Rattus norvegicus: one gene and its partner. Each later gene encodes a partner of the first gene's protein in a complex. Links are inferred from orthologs where the notes say so. Each region holds a gene or a part of one and is shown on either strand. Other genes may lie near its edges.

Region 1 (8,204 bases):
CGCCAGAGACAGCCTGGGAGGGAAGGGCCACGGCTCTTTGGGGCGGACTACAGGCACCACTGCCATGGACAGCCTGTTGTGGGCTACCTGGGTCCTCTGCTTGCTGAACCTGTGGGGAGTTGTAAGTAGCCAGCTCAGACTTCCTTCTCTGTTCTCTTGGATGGTGACAGTCTGTAGTGAGGGACCTCCTGAGTCTAGTGGCTCCCTCCTTCCTTCCCCTGAATAATCTTAGATCCTGCCTGGCACTGAGCTGCCTCATTTTCCCCTCACCTAGGTCCTATCTGTATGCTCTGGGAGTCCCAGAGACACCTGTCCTGAAATGGCTAAGGCCGGTTAGGGCCTCCCTGTCAGACCTGAGCCTGCCCTTTCTCTAAGCCATATACTCCAGGCTGCCACCCATTACTTCTCAAAAAACAGCCAGTATCATCCCATCTCCTGACTCCTGGGTCGTCTCCAGCATGGCTGTTTTCTTGAAGGAAGTGTGGCCATGGACCATGTGGGGCCTGAAGAGGTGTGAATACCAGCCCTTCCAGCTGTGACATTTGGGGACTCTTCCTTTCATATAGCCAGGGTAGGAGAAGCTTCAGAAACCAACCTCCGCTCCCTGGCCTGTGCACAGGGGGATGGGGAAGCCAAGTAAGAAGGCTTCCCTGAACACACTGCAACTTTCCCAGCAGACTTTCTGGGTTGCTGACAGTAGCATCAAGGGTCAAGAGGGGAGGAGTCACAAGGCACTAGGAGGCGCATATGGGAACCGAGGCTACCCTCTTCTACTGCCTTGCCAGAGGTGACCCCCCCATCCCAGTACCTCACTGCCTTTCACTCGAGTCTGGCATCTGCATACCATGAAGTGAACTCTGTGACACTTGAGATTTCACTTGCCTCTGTGTAAAAAAGAGAAACTTGGGCTTGGTGTAGAGGCTCATACCCATAGTCTCAGCATTTGTGGATGCTAGAGGATTATCGTGAGTTCGATGTTAGTCTGAGCTACTGCAGAGAATTATAGGGCAGTGGACCTAGGGCTACCATGCCTCAGGAAGGGGGTAGGGATAAGCGGTCTGATCTGTCAAGGGTGGCATATGAATGTCATGCAGCTGGCATGTGAGTGTCATGCAGGTAAATTCTGTGAACTCCCTATATGACACAATGGACTCACATCCTCCTCTGTGTACACAGTACCTTGAAAGCTCAATTTCAGGGAGGGAATCCCAGACAAGAGGAGTCACTCAGCAGCTGGTGTAGACACCAGATTCAGGACTAGAGTTGTCCAGTGTCTCCCAAACCTTGAGGTGAGAAGCTGGTCAGGTCAGGGAATGGTCCTAAGTGTGTGTGTGTGTGTGTGTGTGTGTGTGTGTGTGTGTGTGTGTGTGTGTGTGTGATGTATAAGTGCATGGATCTTGCAAGGGAATTTATGTAAATCTTGAGAGATGTTAGGAATTTTAGGCATACTCAGATCTCTGTCTCACCTGCAGCACTTGGGCTCTACACGGCCCCTGAATCACCGATCAGAAACACAGAAATGTCCAGAAAAACTTAGAGACCATTTCTTGTGGCCCTCCCGGACTCTGGGAGGGATCCAGTCTGCAATCTTTATGATCACCAAGCACGCATGAAGGCAGCTTCCTTCCTTCCTATCTAATGATCAACTCAGTTTCCCTGACGCAGGACCCTCATCATCCACCATGCTTCTGTGCATCCTCGAATGTCCACCTTCCCCGATCTCATTGTCTGTATGTCTGTCTGAACACTCACCCACTCCACTAGTCAGTTAGTCCAGTCCCTCCCCATTCCATCCTCCCTGTTCCCTGTCCCTTTGCCTCAGTCAAGAGCTCTTGTTTTCTTACTCTCCCATCTGCCCGTATTCTCTCCCACTTACATTTGCTCATGTGACTTGTCTGAGACATGTCAGACGTCCATGCTTTTCAGTTGGCTAAAGCCAGGTGGTCTTCTGGAGTCTCCTGGCCTGGCCTGAGGCATTTCTTCATCTTCAGTAAGCACCATAGCTTCTTTTAACCCTCTCCATCTTGTCCCCTCTGATTTGGTCCTTGTGCTCTCTTGTTATGATTCTGGTCCCACTCAGATAACCAAAGGCATCTTCCTGACTGGAAATCCTTGACTGTATCTGCTAAGTCCCTTGTGTCTTACATATTTACTGGCTTTAGGGATTGGGACATGAACATCTTTGGGGACCATTGTTCTGCCTACCAGGGCTGTTCATGCAGAAACACTTCTAGGGCCCAGAAGTGTATGGAGTAGGGGGTGGTGGGGAAGGAGGAAAGGCCTTGTGAAGGAGTGCACTGTCACAGCTATCGACATCTACATGACTTTCTTTAATATGTCTCAGAATTCACTGCCACAAGATGGAAAAGTGAATCTGTCTCTCTCTCTTCTTTCCTATTTTCTCTGCCCTCCTTTCTTTCCTTTCCTCCTTCTCTTCTTCCCTTCTTTCTTCTGCTCTCCTTTCTCTTTTCTTCCCCTCCTGCTCCTCCCTCCCTTTTGAGCATTTGCCCTCTATTCCTGGCTCCTTTTTCTTTAAGCCCCACTGCTCATCAAACATGCCTTGATATCTGTGGGGCAGATGGGTCTTTCTCAGAAGTAGGGCATGGAAATGTACCAGGCTTGGTCTCTGTCTTCAGGTCACTCCAGCTAGAGAGCACGAGGCCTCTAGTGGGCTTGTCTCATTATGTCACTATTTCCCATAGGCACTGGGTCACCTCCACCTAGAATGTGACTTCATCACTCAGCTGAGAGACGATGAGCTTGCATGCCTTCAGGCGGCAGAGGGGACCAACAACTCGTCCATGGGTAGGAAGGGGTGGGGATGTCCCTAATCCTGACACCTCCTCTTGCATTGCCCTGCAGGATAGCATCTCAGTTTCCCTCACAGGTGCCATGTCTCCTCCTTCTCCACTTAGGATGCCCTGGGACCTGGGATGGGCTGCTGTGCTGGCCCCCAACTGGCTCTGGCCAGTGGGTCTCCCTCCCCTGCCCTGAATTCTTCTCTCATTTTGGCTCAGACCCAGGTGAGTGGCCTAGCTGTGGCAGAGCTGGGGAGCAGGTGGTCCCTTGTGGTTTGCTCATCACTGATTGGGTGATGGGCTGTCCTGGACTTCAGTCTCACTTTTCTATCTTCGACTGTTACCCTGAAAAATTTAGTCCTCTTGGCTAATGACTGATAGTGTCAGCCTCCCAGTGTAGGATTAATGACAGCATTGGAGAGAGGGAGGGGGTACCATATTGTAGAGGGTGAGAAACACCTCCTTCTCCACTTCACCCTCTGGCCTTCCTGACCCTTATGGAGAAGGGGGCATCATACTTCTTGCCCTTAGAGTGTAGAGGTCCATCATTCCATTCTTGTGCCCCTCAAATGAATATTGTTCAACAGAGCTTTCTTGGAGAACAGGAAAGACTACACTTGTCTGGAACCCCAGCCACAGGAAAAGAGGACTCTTCTCTCCCTGTGGTTAAGAACTCCTTGTATAGATCTTGCAGGGACACTTGACAGTCAGGGCCCTCCCACCATCTTCTGGGAAAGGGTGGAATTCTGTAAGCAGAGATTCTTGCTTGCCTCTAGGGGCTGTGAAAAGGGACTGCACCATCACGGGTTGGTCTGATCCCTTCCCACCATATCCCGTGGCCTGTCCTGTGCCCTTGGAACTGCTAACAGAGGAGGTAAGCAGCTCCCAATGTCTTAGAGGAAGGTGACCATGTATACTGGTAAAAGTGGTAGCTTACTATCTCAGTGGATGATGGATGGCTGTCATTGTCACTGTAACCAGCATGTGGGCATAGTAATTATAGGAGCTGTCCAGCAGATGGCAGGAACGTGCCTCCTGAAGCTGATTCATTTACTTAAGGGTGACACTTGGGTTACTTTGCTTTGAGGGAGAAGGGAAGTAGAGGGCAAACTGGAAGCCATAGTCACCCTCCTCTTGGCCAGCCTTTTCTCTACTCAGTTTCTGCTGCTGGGTGGGGGTTTTAGGTATTTCAGAGGGAACGAAGATTACTGTTGTGCTAGACAGGAAGTGCTTCCTTTCTCGGGTCCTCAGCCCGTGGTACAGTATACTGGGTTGTGGCCTGGGCCAGGGTGTAGTAATTACAGAGACCCCTGGCTCTGGGCAGCATACCCTACACTGTGTGCAGATCAGGATCTTCTCAAGGCCCATCCACACTCACAATCCCATTTCTCCCCGCCCTCAGCCCTAAGAGTTGAAGCCCTGGTGTCCTTATCATTCAGATGGAGAGACAACTCAGGGAAGCACAGGGATTGCGTGAGCTGAACGTCAGAGCCAGAGCTGTAGTAGTACCTGGTCATACTACACCCCTAGCTCCAACTGATTCAAATACTTGGATACCAAAGAGCCTTCCCTGCCTGCCTGTGGCTGTCCCTGGTGTCCAGGATGTTACCTTTATATGGGATGACAGTGTTCTCAAGCTAGCTGGGGTCAAGAAACAGGCCCAAATTCCTCTGGTGCTTTTGTTACTCTCCAGAGGCAGCAGCTGCTGCTGGTTCTTCCCACCCCCAGTGCAACTGTGACTCCCTAATGCCTCCACCTGCAGAGGCAGTGCCTGTACAAGGCTTTCTGTGGTGTCGGTGACTAGGAAGCTGGTGGAGTTGCAGACCCATGCTTGGTTGCCAAACCTCCCTTCTGCTTCTGTTGTCCCCAGAAGTCTTACTTCTCCACGGTGAAGATCATCTACACCACAGGCCACAGCATCTCCATTGTAGCCCTCTGCGTGGCTATTGCCATCCTGGTTGCTCTCAGGTTCGTCATTTGCTCAGAAACCATCACTGGCTCCCTACTGTCTGGGGACCATGTCTGGTTCTTTGCCTGCATAGACAAGAGGGGCTCAGATCCAGGCAAGGTGACCTTCGCTGACTTCTTGCCCCTCCCTTCCAACCCCCACGGGTGGGCCCTCTTCTCACACACCAGGTCTTTGTTCCCTTGGCTTTCCACACAGTTGCTCATTCTGTTAGCTTCCAGTGCCTTCTTTTTCTTGGTATTGCGTTCATCCCTGCCAACACTGGAAGTCCAGCTCTCATCAGGTTCTAAGAATCCTCCTTGACCCCTGCATGGTCCTCTTTGGATGGTTGTGGTTTTCGAACCATTACAGACCATTATAGCCTTCACCATGGAGCCCACTCTCAGCTCGTACTGCTGGGTGTGGTGGCTTTCCAGCCTTCAAAAGTTGAGTTTCCTCACAGGACTATGCTTCAAAGGGTAGATCTCTGATCACCAGGGGGCTCCCTAGGGTCTTACTGGACTGTGGTTGTCTCTGCACCCACAGTTACAGAGCTGTATGAAGGCGGGGCTATAGAACCCCTGCTCCTTACCTGAGCGTAGGCCATGAAAAGGCTGGCCAGCTGACCTTCAGGGTCAAACTGACACATTGTTCTCACTCTCTACCCAGTTCATTGGCTTTCATTTTATTTGATGTGGCTTTGGCTACTCTGCATTGACTCACCTTCTGCCTAGCTTCCCAGCCATGCCAGGCCTGTTCTAGGCCCTGGGAAGGTCTTTTTGCAGTTAGGCCTCTCCATTCATCTCTCTTGTCCCTTCCAGGAGGCTCCACTGCCCCAGGAACTACATCCACACGCAGCTGTTTGCTACTTTCATCCTCAAGGCCAGTGCTGTGTTCCTGAAGGATGCTGCTGTCTTCCAGGGTGATAGCACGGACCACTGCAGCATGTCCACTGTAAGGGCTATGGCTGGAGGGAGCTGGGACAGGGGAAGAGGGCAGGGGACAGACCTGCATGTGCCTGACCTGTTGCTACACAGCCTGTATTTATGACCAGCAACAAGGGAAGGAAGCCTCAAGCTTTCCCCACCCATTCATAGATCAATGCCAACATGAGCGACTCCCTTTGCCAGGGGCATCCCATACCATCATACCTCTTTCATCAATGTTCCCATTTCAAGTTGGTTACAGCAGCTCCTGGGCCAGCCAGCCATGTCATTGCCTTTAATGAGTATACAAGGACCTGGGTGGAGCTTGCCACCCCCTTTCTTCCAGAGGCACCTAGGCAGCAGGAGGCACCCAGACTTGGGGACTGCTGGGTAGGGAAAGCTGGGAACTAAGAGAAGGGCCTCATGGAGGGGGTGCATGGACACAAGGACAGTGAGATGGGGAGGAAGCTTTCAATGAGAGGAGAGTCTGGGGCAGAGCTACCTCATGGAAGTGGGAAGTCCCAAAAGTGGAGGGGTGGGGAAAGGAGAGGAGAGGAGCAGAGTGAACTAGAAGGGGTCAGAGTTCAAGGTCTTTCAAGTGTTCTAGAAATGAATAGACAAGTGAGTGCCCAGACCAACGAGTGGCCTGATTTAATTAATGAATTAATCACTGACTGCACTCACTTAGGCCGGGCAGCACACCAAGTACTTTACATGTATTATCTCTTTTGATCTTAAAAGGCCTTGAAGGCCTCACTGTAATCCCATTTTGTTAACAAGGGGCAGCTGGCCAGGTCACCCAGCCACACAGTTGGGGAATAGATAGAGCCCGGGCAACTGGGCTCAGAAGTTGTACTGTTGCCCACATAGGCAGGTGAGGGAGGAACAAGACTAATGGCTGCACGCATGATGGACACATCCTATATCCACTGATCAAAGCTATGCAGGGATAAGCAGTCCATGGTTAGTATCACTTTAAAGGAGAACTTCAGCTTAGGAAGGGCACATGACAGAGCAAATAGAACAGTGTGTGTGTGTGTGTGTGTGTGTGTGTGACACACCAAACACGACCTTAAGAGGTCCTGGAGTTTTTCCTTTCACAGACAGAACACCTAGGCTGAGATGCTTTGCATGATTGACAGAAGACACACCTAACCTGAACCTAGCCTGTGTGTCTGTGTTCTGACCATCACAATTATATTGTCAAACTCCTCCCGTGGCACACCAAGGGGTGGAATGGTCCGGTCCAAGGTGGAGGGGACCTGAGGGTTTGGGGTCTCAGAGGGGTGAAAGAGATCCAATGGGGGTTGAAGTGGGGTTCCAAGCTCTTAAGCATCAGGTCCCTGCTCTTAGATTCTGTGCAAGGTCTCTGTGGCCGTCTCACATTTTGCCACCATGACCAACTTCAGCTGGCTGCTGGCAGAAGCCGTCTACCTGAGCTGTCTGTTGGCCTCCACATCTCCTAGGTCCAAACCAGCTTTCTGGTGGCTGGTTCTCGCTGGCTGGGGTGAGCATCAAGGGCTCATTGACCATCATAGGGGAGGTGGAGGTTGGGAAGGACCTGGGAGCTCATAAAGAGGCCTTTCTCATTGTGAATGACTCTGAGGCTCAGAGAGGGGGGAAGAGGGCAGGCCATAGTCCTTTGCTGAGCATCAGGAAGTAGACCAGATCCCTTCAAGCCATTACCTGGGCCCACTATCATAGTCTGCATGTGGCTAACAATTGGTGGGAGGTGGAGTCTACACTCAAAGGGTGCAGGACCCTCACTCATCTCTGTGTTATCTCACTCACAGGACTCCCTGTGCTATGCACTGGTACGTGGGTGGGCTGCAAACTGGCTTTTGAGGACACTGCGTGAGTAGAGCAACTTCCTCACCCCCATGCTGTCAGCAAGGCCTGTAGTAGACTATCTAAGGGGGAGGGAGAGGGGACCTCTAGGTTAGAGCATGGCAGGTGGGCAGGAGGAAGGAGGAAGGAGGGGCAGGAGCTTAGGCAGGAAAGGCTGTCAGAGCTATGAATCTCAAGAGAGCAGCTCTGATCAGGTTTTCCAAGGGCAAGAAATGTCTGGACAAGGATGAAAAGGGCCAGTCTTCACTGGGTCTCTCCTTTGGAGAGGCTAGGATGGGAGAACAGGCCACAAGGAGATAGAGTGGGGCTGAAGACTTGAGCACTAGACAGAGAGAGGCCCCAGGAGGCATAGCATGTGTGTTGAGGAGGTGCATTGTCAGAGAAGAAAAGGGGCACCTTCAAGCCCACGCTCTCTTCTTCCCAGGTGCTGGGACCTAGACGACAGCTCCCCCTACTGGTGGATCATCAAAGGGCCCATAGTCCTCTCTGTTGGGGTCAGTTTCTGAGACCAGAGTCAGTTGGTTTCTTAACCCAGCCTCCAGGTTTCTTTATGTGGCCCTGCAGGGGGTGGCAGCATGATTACCCCCAAGGGAATCAGGAAACCGGTGCCTAGCTTCTCTGGCACTAGTTGGTTACATCAGCACCTAGACCTGCTTTCTGGTTTCCGTGTGTCTGGCCTGCAGAGTG
Region 2 (8,837 bases), on another chromosome or scaffold:
GTTACAATACATTAGCCTCGGGGAGAATCTAGAATTAGAACCTGTGTTGCTTACAGTGAGATGGCAGAGGACTCAAGGGCCAAACAGGAAAGGGGGGAAAGGAGAGGAAGAGACAGGAGAAACAGAGGATATGTCTACATACAGTGACCCCTGGGTAAAAAATTCGCAATTACTCTAGTGCCACTGAGACCGCTCGCTTCGTGTGCTGCCTGCTTCTTTGTTGTCAGCTGCCAGGTTGTCATGGTAATGTAATAACCTCTGATAAGCTCATTTTCAATTCTGAAATATTTTAAAGAAAAGCAAAGAGTAATAATCTGCAGAACGGCTGCAGGGAGAGAGAAGATGCTCACGGGCGAGAACAGCATCAGGGTGACCTTTCTGAGGCTGAAGTCTGTCTTAACGCTGGTGGGGTGAGCGGAGAGCAGAGGCTCAGAAACCTGGGCAGGCATCTGAAGCGCCAGAGGCCAGTTCAGTTCAGCCGTCACTTTCTGCTCCAGTGGGCCTGATGTGTGTGGTGCTTTGACCCAGTTCCCAGTAAGTGCACAGAGTGCCATTTGGGACCACAAAAGCCGCTGCCCCGATGGGTTTGTACTGGGCTCTGTGAGTGGCATGCTCTAGTCTCTCCTTGTCCTAGACACATCTACCCTACTCCACTGATCTCCTCTATTACCAAGAGGCACAAGGTCCTAACATCCTACCCGGCAGACATCTTGTGAGCCAAGGGCTTTCAGGGCAGCTTCCAAAGATGAGTGGGTGGGAAGACTGGCGGGTGCCTGCCTGTTCTTGCTAGAGCTCTTTCACTCAGCTGCCTCACCGTAGGGCTGACCAACACTGACTGCTGGACCCGAGAGAATGTTCATTAGGAGTGTGTAGCTAAGGAAGGGCTAGAGCTGGCTGGAGAGAACTGGAAGTGTTTTCTTCAGGAACCATAATTGATTTCAATGGGATTCTGATCTCCTGCAGAAATGGATGTGAGGGCCAACGAGTTCAAAAATCAGCCCCGTCGAAACACACACACACACACACACACACACACACACACACACACACATACACACACACACACACACAGCTTATTGAGTAGAAACACAGTCAAACTAGCACTAGCAACTGAGGCAGGAGGATCACCAGGTCAGTGATATCTGAACCTAAAACAAAACAAAACAACGAAAACCGGGGTGAGGATGTGATTCCCCTAGAGAGCATGAAGCCCTGAATTCCATGCCCAGCCCCCTGACGTGGTGGAGCACACCTGTGAGTCCAGTGTTGCTGTGGGATATGGGGGAGGGTCATAAAAATCATAACTTAAAGGTCATCTTTGGTTGCAAAGCAAGTTTGAGGCCAGCTTGGGCTACATGAGACTCTGTCTTGGGGGGTGGGGGGGACGGAGATAAAGGAAGGAAGAAAGGGTTCAGAAATTAAAAAATAAAAGTAAATAAAATTTTAATTTTTAAACTAAAAGAAGAGACGAATATAAAGAGTTGTGGCGAGCACAGCTTTGTTTTGGTTTAAAGGGTCTGAAATCCAGTGTTTTGTTGGAAACAGGCAGGCAGGGGAGGGCAGCAGTCTGCGCGGAGCTCTGAGCCGAGGCTGGCAGGGACAAAGAACTGCCTTCCTGGATGAGGACTGCATGAGCAGAGACCTGGTGATGGGAGCCCACTAAGGCCTGCCGGAGGAGCTAGAAGTAGAAGCAGGAACCACTGGAGCTGAGTCTCCTCTCTCCAGATGCCACAGCCTGTCAGAAGCGGGACTCGGGAAAAGGGCTTCTCTTCCGCCCCAGGACAGAGTCTGTTTTGTTTCTCGCCTACTCTGTCTGGCTCCTCTCCAACACCAGTTCTTAAGGCTCTGGACATACACAATTCCACAGGCCCCTCTCCCAGGATCCAGAAACAGGACAGTCACATCCGGCATCCTCTGCCAACCCCGGCTCCTCCAGCTTCATCGCAGTCCTCAGTCCCTGGCAACCACCCACCGAATCCCCTTCCCTGCCACCGTGTGTGGAAGCGGGATACTGGACAGTCATTTTAGCTGATTTGTTCAATTTGTTTCCTGAGCTTTGGGCAACCCACTCCATCTGTAGATGGCTGTAAGCAACTTCCAAGCAGCATGCCTTCCTAGCCACCTCCCAGGAGCTCCCCAAGGGCTGCCTTTCATTCTCCTTCCAGGGGTCTGTAGAATACAGCCCTGGATGTTTCCAAGGCACGGACTGGCATAATAAGCGCAGGCGTCTCCATGACACCGTTCATTGAGCTTATTGGAGCGTTCTGCGGATGCCACGGAACATCGAGCCAAATCCCAGGAACACGCTCTGAACCCCAGGAGCTGCACACCACTCTATTAGGTAGTTTATTGGCGCATCAAATCTGGAGTCTACCTCCCTCGGTTCACAAATCAGTTCAGAGAGAGGATCAAACTTGCCCAAGATTAAAGAGTAATGGTGTCACCTGCTCCTCTTCCCTGAATGGCATGATGCCAGGGATGTGACTGGTGACCTGAAAGGGAGGGAAATCAAGGCAGGAACGGCTGGGTGTGATGGAGACCTCAAGGCTGTTGTGAGCCCCCCAAGAACAGACTCTCTGGAGGCAGGCTTTATCGAGCAGGTCGTTCAACTGGGGAGCACAAAGGCTACTTAAATTTTTGGGGAGTGAGTAGGGGCACTCAGGGCAAACGGATGTCATTGTCCAAGACCAAGGTGTAGGGAATGCTTTACTGCATGAAAAGGAATTTGAGGTGCTTGCTGTCTGGACGTGACTTTGTCCAGAGAGGAAATTTAACCTATAACCTGGCCACCGGTTATGACTACCTCAAGGATTGCAGAGGTGGGGCCAAAAGGCTATGTACGTGCTCTGGAACATGCAGGCCCAGGACGGAGAAGGAGGCGTCCTGCTCCTGCCAGCCTTAAGATGGGAATTTTAGGGTCTGGACATCACTGGTGCTCCAGGTCAGCTTTCCTGGTTGCAGATCTCTCCTGGTCAAGGCTCCCAGCTCGCCTGGATCCCACAACTGCACAGTGTAAGTTCGTAGACATCTAAATTTTTTTAAAGATTTATTTATTTTATGTATATGAATACTCTGAGCTGTCTTGAGACACACCAGAAGAGGGCATCGGATCCCATTACAGTTGATTGTGAGCCACCATGTGGTGGTTGGGAATTGAACTCAGGACCTCTTAACTACTGAGCCATCTCTCCAGCCCGACATCTAAATTTTGAACCTAGCTCTCCTGATGCCCCTATTGAGGGACAATGTCCTCACTGAGCGGTTAATAGGGATCTGCAGACCTCTGATGAACAGCAATGTGGCTAACCGCCCTTTCCAGTGAAACGCACGGAAACTGCAGTGCCTGGGAGGGAAATGAACCCAGTCAATCTCTTTTGTTATTTTTATCTGATTGGGTTCACTTCAGACCGGTTCCCATTTCTTATTTATGACCAAAGGCCCTTGAGTGAGAAAAATGAACTCAAGGACACCATTTTCTTTTATGCACTGCAAATGTTTCTATACCTCCCCTCCCCTCCTCCTCCTTTAAAATAACATTTCCTTCCCAGGGGCACCCCCCCCCGCCCCCAAGCTTCTAAAATCCCTGGCCTTTCCAATCTCCTCTTTGCCTTGGCTATAATTATCTTGGGAGAATTTAAATTCCTTATCATGGGTTTGTGACAGCCCCAGCTTAAGGCCTAGCTTCCATTCTGAGGTCTTGTCAAATTGCCCTCCATAGGAATTATTGTTAGGGCTTTTTTTTTTTTTTTTTTCTTAAAGGGTGATAATAGGATTTTGACTATGTTGAAGAAAGAACCCTTATCTTTTTTGAGATACGTGCTGAAATATTTACCAGTCCGGGATTTGCTTCAGAACAGTCCGGTGAGGGAGATGGCAAGCACCACAATATCTTACTGAAATTGTCTTTGCTGGCTTCCTCTCACAATCCTTCATTCATTTCCCAGTGCTGAGGGGAGAACTGGGGACCTCGTGGATGCTTGGTAGGGATTCTTCCACTAAGCAGTTGCCCACCTCTCTTGCAGGGACCCTTTGGCTTCCTCTCTTTTACCTCTCGCCCCCAGTCTTTGGATCTGTATGTTTTGAGCCTGGAGATGGGATTTGCCTCTGGGAGACTCAGCAAAGGAGAGAGAGAATCTTAGTTTCGAGAGCCCATCTCCAGGCTGACAGAAAGTAGCTCGCTCTCTCACTGGGGTCTTTCCTTCTTTTGACCTTATTATTAGTGTGTGTGGAGGTCAGGGGACAACTTTGAGGGGTTGTCCCCTCTCTTTCCACCCTATGTGGCTCCCAGGGATGGAACTTAAGTGGCTGGGCTTGCATGGTAAGCACCTTCATCTGCTGCACCATCTCGATGGCCTGGATCCCCCTTTTCTACTTCTGCTTCACCTGTCTTGAAGATAGATATAAATTCCCCAAGGTCTCTCCGACCCCCACCCTACCCCCCACTTCAACTCCTGTGCCCTTCAAGGGAGGGAACGAGGGAGGGAGGGAGGGAGGGAGGGAGGGAGGGAGGGAGGGAGGAGGCAGCTTAGAGAAACAACCATCATTTCCAAGATCTGAACCAGATCTAGTCACCTGGTCCCCAGGGTTTCCTGGAGGTCTTATGACACTCCGTCCCCAACATGTGCGAATGGAACTCCCATCCCCTCTTAACATGATCTCCACAGGCATCCTGGCCCTCCCTCCAGTCATCCATAGACTCATTTGGGCATCCTTTCCCTTCACTTCCCTGCCCTGGCTGTCTTGATAAGCTCGTCTAGGCTGTGCTGGTCTAGGCTGTGCTGGTCTAGCCTATGCTCATCTTGCAGAGCCTCCCTTAGTTACCTTTCACCATTGCACTAGTTCAGGCCCAAGGCTCACTGGCCTGAACTTCCTGACTGGATTCACTTCCTTCAGGTTGCTGCCAATGTTCCCCTTCCCAAACCATCCCACCAGGCCTCGAGAGCCTCCAATGTCCTCTCTCTGTGGAGAACAAGAAAAGACGAAATTCCTTAGTGTGGCATTTGATACCCTGCATAGTTTGGTCTAAATCTATTGGTCTCTATTTCCTACTAGTGGAGCCATGGACCTGGGTTCATATCAAAATAAGATCCCATCTCTATGATTAACATGCCAGAATCCTAGGTCCTACCTTCAACATTTGAATTAGGAATCAATCAGCCCATCTGAGAAGCACACAGAGGACCAGAAGGCATAGGGCTCAAGTGGGAATTAACTCTATAAGTTTGAGCACCAGAACTCAGGTCCCGGTTTTCTGAGGTGGCCTTCCTACTGGTGTTGTCTGTGGGACTTCCATCACCAGGGCCAGAGGGTGCAGCCCATCTTCCTCTCTTATCTTCAGATACTTGCAAAGTGGATCTTGAATTCAGGTGTGGCTATGTGAGCAAGTGGATGCTCGGATAGAGGGTTGTATCATTGGCTTTGATGAGTACATGAACCTTGTACTCAGATGATGCAGAAGAAATTCATTCTAAAACAAAGTCAAGAGAACAACCGGGTCGGATCATGCTAAAAGGAGACAATATTACTGTGCTCCAACGTGTTTGCAACTAGCAATAGTCAAGCGGGGAGAAGTCGAGAAGGGAGTTCAGGGTTTTAAAGGTGTCTTCTTCTGGGAGCTACGTTTACTCATCTTGTTTCACTTGTACATTATCATTAGGTGGCAATAAATGTTGTGAGATTGTTTTTGTTAAAAGGAAGAAGGAAAGAAAGAAAAGGGCCTCTACACACACACATGCATATGCACCTGCAACCCACAGGAACCTCCATACATACACAAGTACATTTTACGTTCACAGAAGATCCTAGGGCCCTCCTTCCAGCCACAATAAGTGTCATTTCCCTATCTCACTTCTCTTTGAGGCCCCATCTCAATGCCATGTCCTTCACAAAGCCCCTGCTGCTGGCAGACAAACGGAACCTGGACCCACTGCGCTCTGAGAGCACTAAACACACTTTGGTCACACAGTGTGCACACCACACTGTAAGCAATTTTCTGCTTGCCTTCCTGTCTAGAGTGGAATCTCCACCAGAGCAAGGCCCAGAACACCAGGGGTCCCCTCGCTCGGCACAGAGCAGTGCTTCATAAATACCAGTTCATTCGATCGCTTCTTATTCTTCCCGGTTCCTGGCCACCGAGCATGGTGCTTAGCGCCACTGGGTGCTGTCTGATGGGAAGATACAAAGGGATGGATGGGAGCTCGAAGGGACGATGAGACGCACAGATCAGCTAGAGATGCCTTCTCCTTGCTTAGCATTCTGGAATGCTCGTCTGTGAGAGACCAATCTGAGGGAGCTGTAAACGGGGTCAGGGCATGGCTCTGTGGGGTCTAGGTTTCATGAAGTCACCATATCTGAAGGTTCTGACGTTAATCAGGAGCATTGCTCTTTTAAAACCGTTTACAGCATTTGTTTATTTGTGTGTGTGTGTGTGTGTGTGTGTGTGTGTGTGTGTGTGTGTGTGTGTGTGAAGGTCAGGGAAAACTTGTGTGAGCTGGTTCTCTCCTTGTGCATCAGGGATCAAACTCTGGTCTGCTGAACCACCTCACCCCGCTGTGATGAATGCGTGTGAACCGACAGTCATCTTCCCTCACAGCCCTCCCATCATGAACCTCGGGACAGTCTTAATTTTATCACATGGAGAACTCCACCCGGCAGGATCTGCAGAGACCTCCACTGGCTCTACTCTGTGGGAAATCTGCTACTTGTTGTAGGGCTGGAGGAGACGTGCCTTGGGGTGCTGTAGCTGGACCAGGGTGGTTATGCTGTTCTGGCCCCCACTTACTGTCTCTAGGAGACTGGCACATAGCACTCCGATTCTCCATGGTCCAGCTTTTTCGGTCCTGCAGTGGGAGCCCTAGGTGTTCCTAATCCCGGTGGTTGCTGAGCGGTGAAGTCATGTACGGTGGACATCACCACCTGGGCTGTGATTTAGGACAAGTGGAGTTCAGTAAATAACGAATAATTGCTGGCCCCAGGTGCTAGCGACAGAGCTGCAAGCTGTGTCCTAGCCATGAATTCCAGCTTCTGGAGTTTAGTAACAGAGCTCCTAGGAAGCCAGGGGTGAGTGGGGAGGCTGTGGCAGGGCTGATCTTGGACTAAATGACTGGGAGTGGGTGAAAGTTGCACTTGGAGATAGAGGCTCTGAGGAGAACGCAGACATCTTGCTTCTGCTAGTTGGTGCCGGGCTACTAGGTGCCTTAACGAAAGTGGAACCACGGAGCGGAAATGAGGCCATATTAGATCCCTGATGATTTTTTTTTGTTATGGGAGACTGGGAACTGGAGATTCAGACAGGGCTTTGGGGTCTGCCTATGATGAGAGAATTATAAGAACGCCCTCTTCGTGTCCGCAGAGCCGATTGTCGCTAAGACATGCTAACCCTGAGACTTCAGAGGAGATCCCAAGAGAAGTTCTCTCCTTACTGACTGACCCCAGGTGCGCCGAGAGCCCTGTGTGATAGATATACTTTGGTCCTGCGGCAGGGCTTGAGCCAGGACGGTCCCCTAAGTGGAAACACAGAGAAAGACTTGGGAATGATTTGGGAAGAGAAGGATGAAGGGGCTTGGGTGGCAGAGTGAAGGATGGCAAGACAGATCTGACCAGAACCTGCTTTGTTAGTCCTGGGATTTCATAGGGAACAAAGCCCCACACAAGGGGCCTCAGACATTGAAACAAAGCCGGACTCCACCAAAGACTGGAGAACAGCGCCACCTCCTGGCTGCCTGAGGCTATGACCCTCTTCCACAGGCAGAACCGCAGGGTTTTTAGGGAGACCCTCCCTGTGTGTCTGATGTCTTAGCAGTCAAGAATAAAATGATCCTTTGAGCTCGTTTCCGGTGAGCCTGAGATCCTGCTCTCTTACTAACGCCCCCCCTCCTCACCAATACACCTATTATTCGGACCCAGATCAGCTTTGGTCCCTAGCATGTGGAGGGGCTTAGAGAAAGTTCTCCCCCCTGCCTCCACATATAAAATCATCCAACTCCAGGGGACATCAGGCAGGGAGAATGTTTCTTGGAGAGACAGGCCAAGGAGAGGCAGCCAGATGTAGGAACAGTCTCTTTGTAGCATGATACTTGCATTAACTCTACTGTCCCTATAGCCATCCCGGTAGGCATTCATAAGTCATAGCTCTCCTGCCACAAGACATTCCAAGGTGAGATATTCCAAGCAAGAAGAATTTACTAGAGCTGTTACATACTGTAAGGGGCAGCACTTTCAAGTAACCCAGAGGTGTTACACTGTGCATCGCTAAGCTAAATCCCCAGCCCCCTTTTAAACTTTTATTTTGAGAATCACCTAGGCTGGCCTTGAACTCTCCCTGTAGCCCCCAGGTGCTCCTTGACCTTGTGATCCTTCTACCTCCATCTACTGGGATGGAGGATGCTGGGATTAGAGACCGGCTTGAATAGGCAAGTCTTGACTTTGTCTCTTCACTGGAGAGCTCTGCAAGACCTCCTCGGATGCAGGCTTTTCTTAAAATTAAAAAAAAAAAAAAAAAAAAAAGGTGAGCTTCTTCACAGTTACCACCCACTCAGAAGCTCGCCTTTTCTGGAGGAACCACACAGACTCGGAGAGAGGACCAACCAGGCCAGTTTACAGAGAAAGACACCAAGGTTCAGAGAAATTAAGTGACTTGTCTTGGGGCCACCCAGAAAGGCCACAGCAGCCAACCTCGGTGGCCTGGCTCTGACACAACACACATGTGCATCCGCGTGACATTGCTACTGAGGACTCCATAAACAGACCCAGAAGGGCAAGAGGGTCAAGGGAGTCGTGAAGTCTAGGGTCTGGGCTTCCCCATCTGCTGCACAGAGGCCTGGGGCAGGCTGGGAATT

The links.
Region 2: the proteins of Ghrhr (region 1) and Ghrh are in contact, whole or in part, in a cryo-EM structure (PDB 7CZ5), measured with the Homo sapiens proteins. The link is inferred for Rattus norvegicus from reciprocal best matches to the Homo sapiens genes GHRHR and GHRH. Residues at the interface, in NP_000814.2 of Homo sapiens: Leu119, Ala120, Glu122, Glu123, Phe126, Ser127, Val129, Lys130, Tyr133, Val179, Lys182, Leu186, Phe187, Asp190, Thr192, Asp193, His194, Cys195, Phe197, His210, Thr213, Phe217, Ala271, Cys272, Asp274, Leu275, Asp276, Trp282, Ile285, Ile289; in NP_066567.1 of Homo sapiens: Tyr32, Ala33, Asp34, Ala35, Ile36, Phe37, Thr38, Asn39, Ser40, Tyr41, Arg42, Val44, Leu45, Gly46, Gln47, Leu48, Ser49, Ala50, Leu53.

What each region holds. Positions count from the first base shown.
Region 1 is NC_086022.1:85,849,926-85,858,129, forward strand, and holds part of Ghrhr (growth hormone-releasing hormone receptor isoform 3 precursor), read left to right. Parts: coding exon of another isoform or gene 1-64; coding exon 65-121; intron 122-2,702; coding exon 2,703-2,805; intron 2,806-2,887; coding exon of another isoform or gene 2,888-2,915; coding exon 2,916-3,023; intron 3,024-3,574; coding exon 3,575-3,672; intron 3,673-4,668; coding exon 4,669-4,766; intron 4,767-5,564; coding exon 5,565-5,697; intron 5,698-7,022; coding exon 7,023-7,176; intron 7,177-7,462; coding exon 7,463-7,523; intron 7,524-7,941; coding exon 7,942-8,011; intron 8,012-8,204.
Region 2 is NC_086021.1:166,425,881-166,434,717, reverse strand, and holds the start of Ghrh (somatoliberin precursor), read left to right. Parts: upstream 1-2,837; 5' UTR 2,838-3,012; intron 3,013-8,837. UniProt on the Homo sapiens protein: GRF is released by the hypothalamus and acts on the adenohypophyse to stimulate the secretion of growth hormone.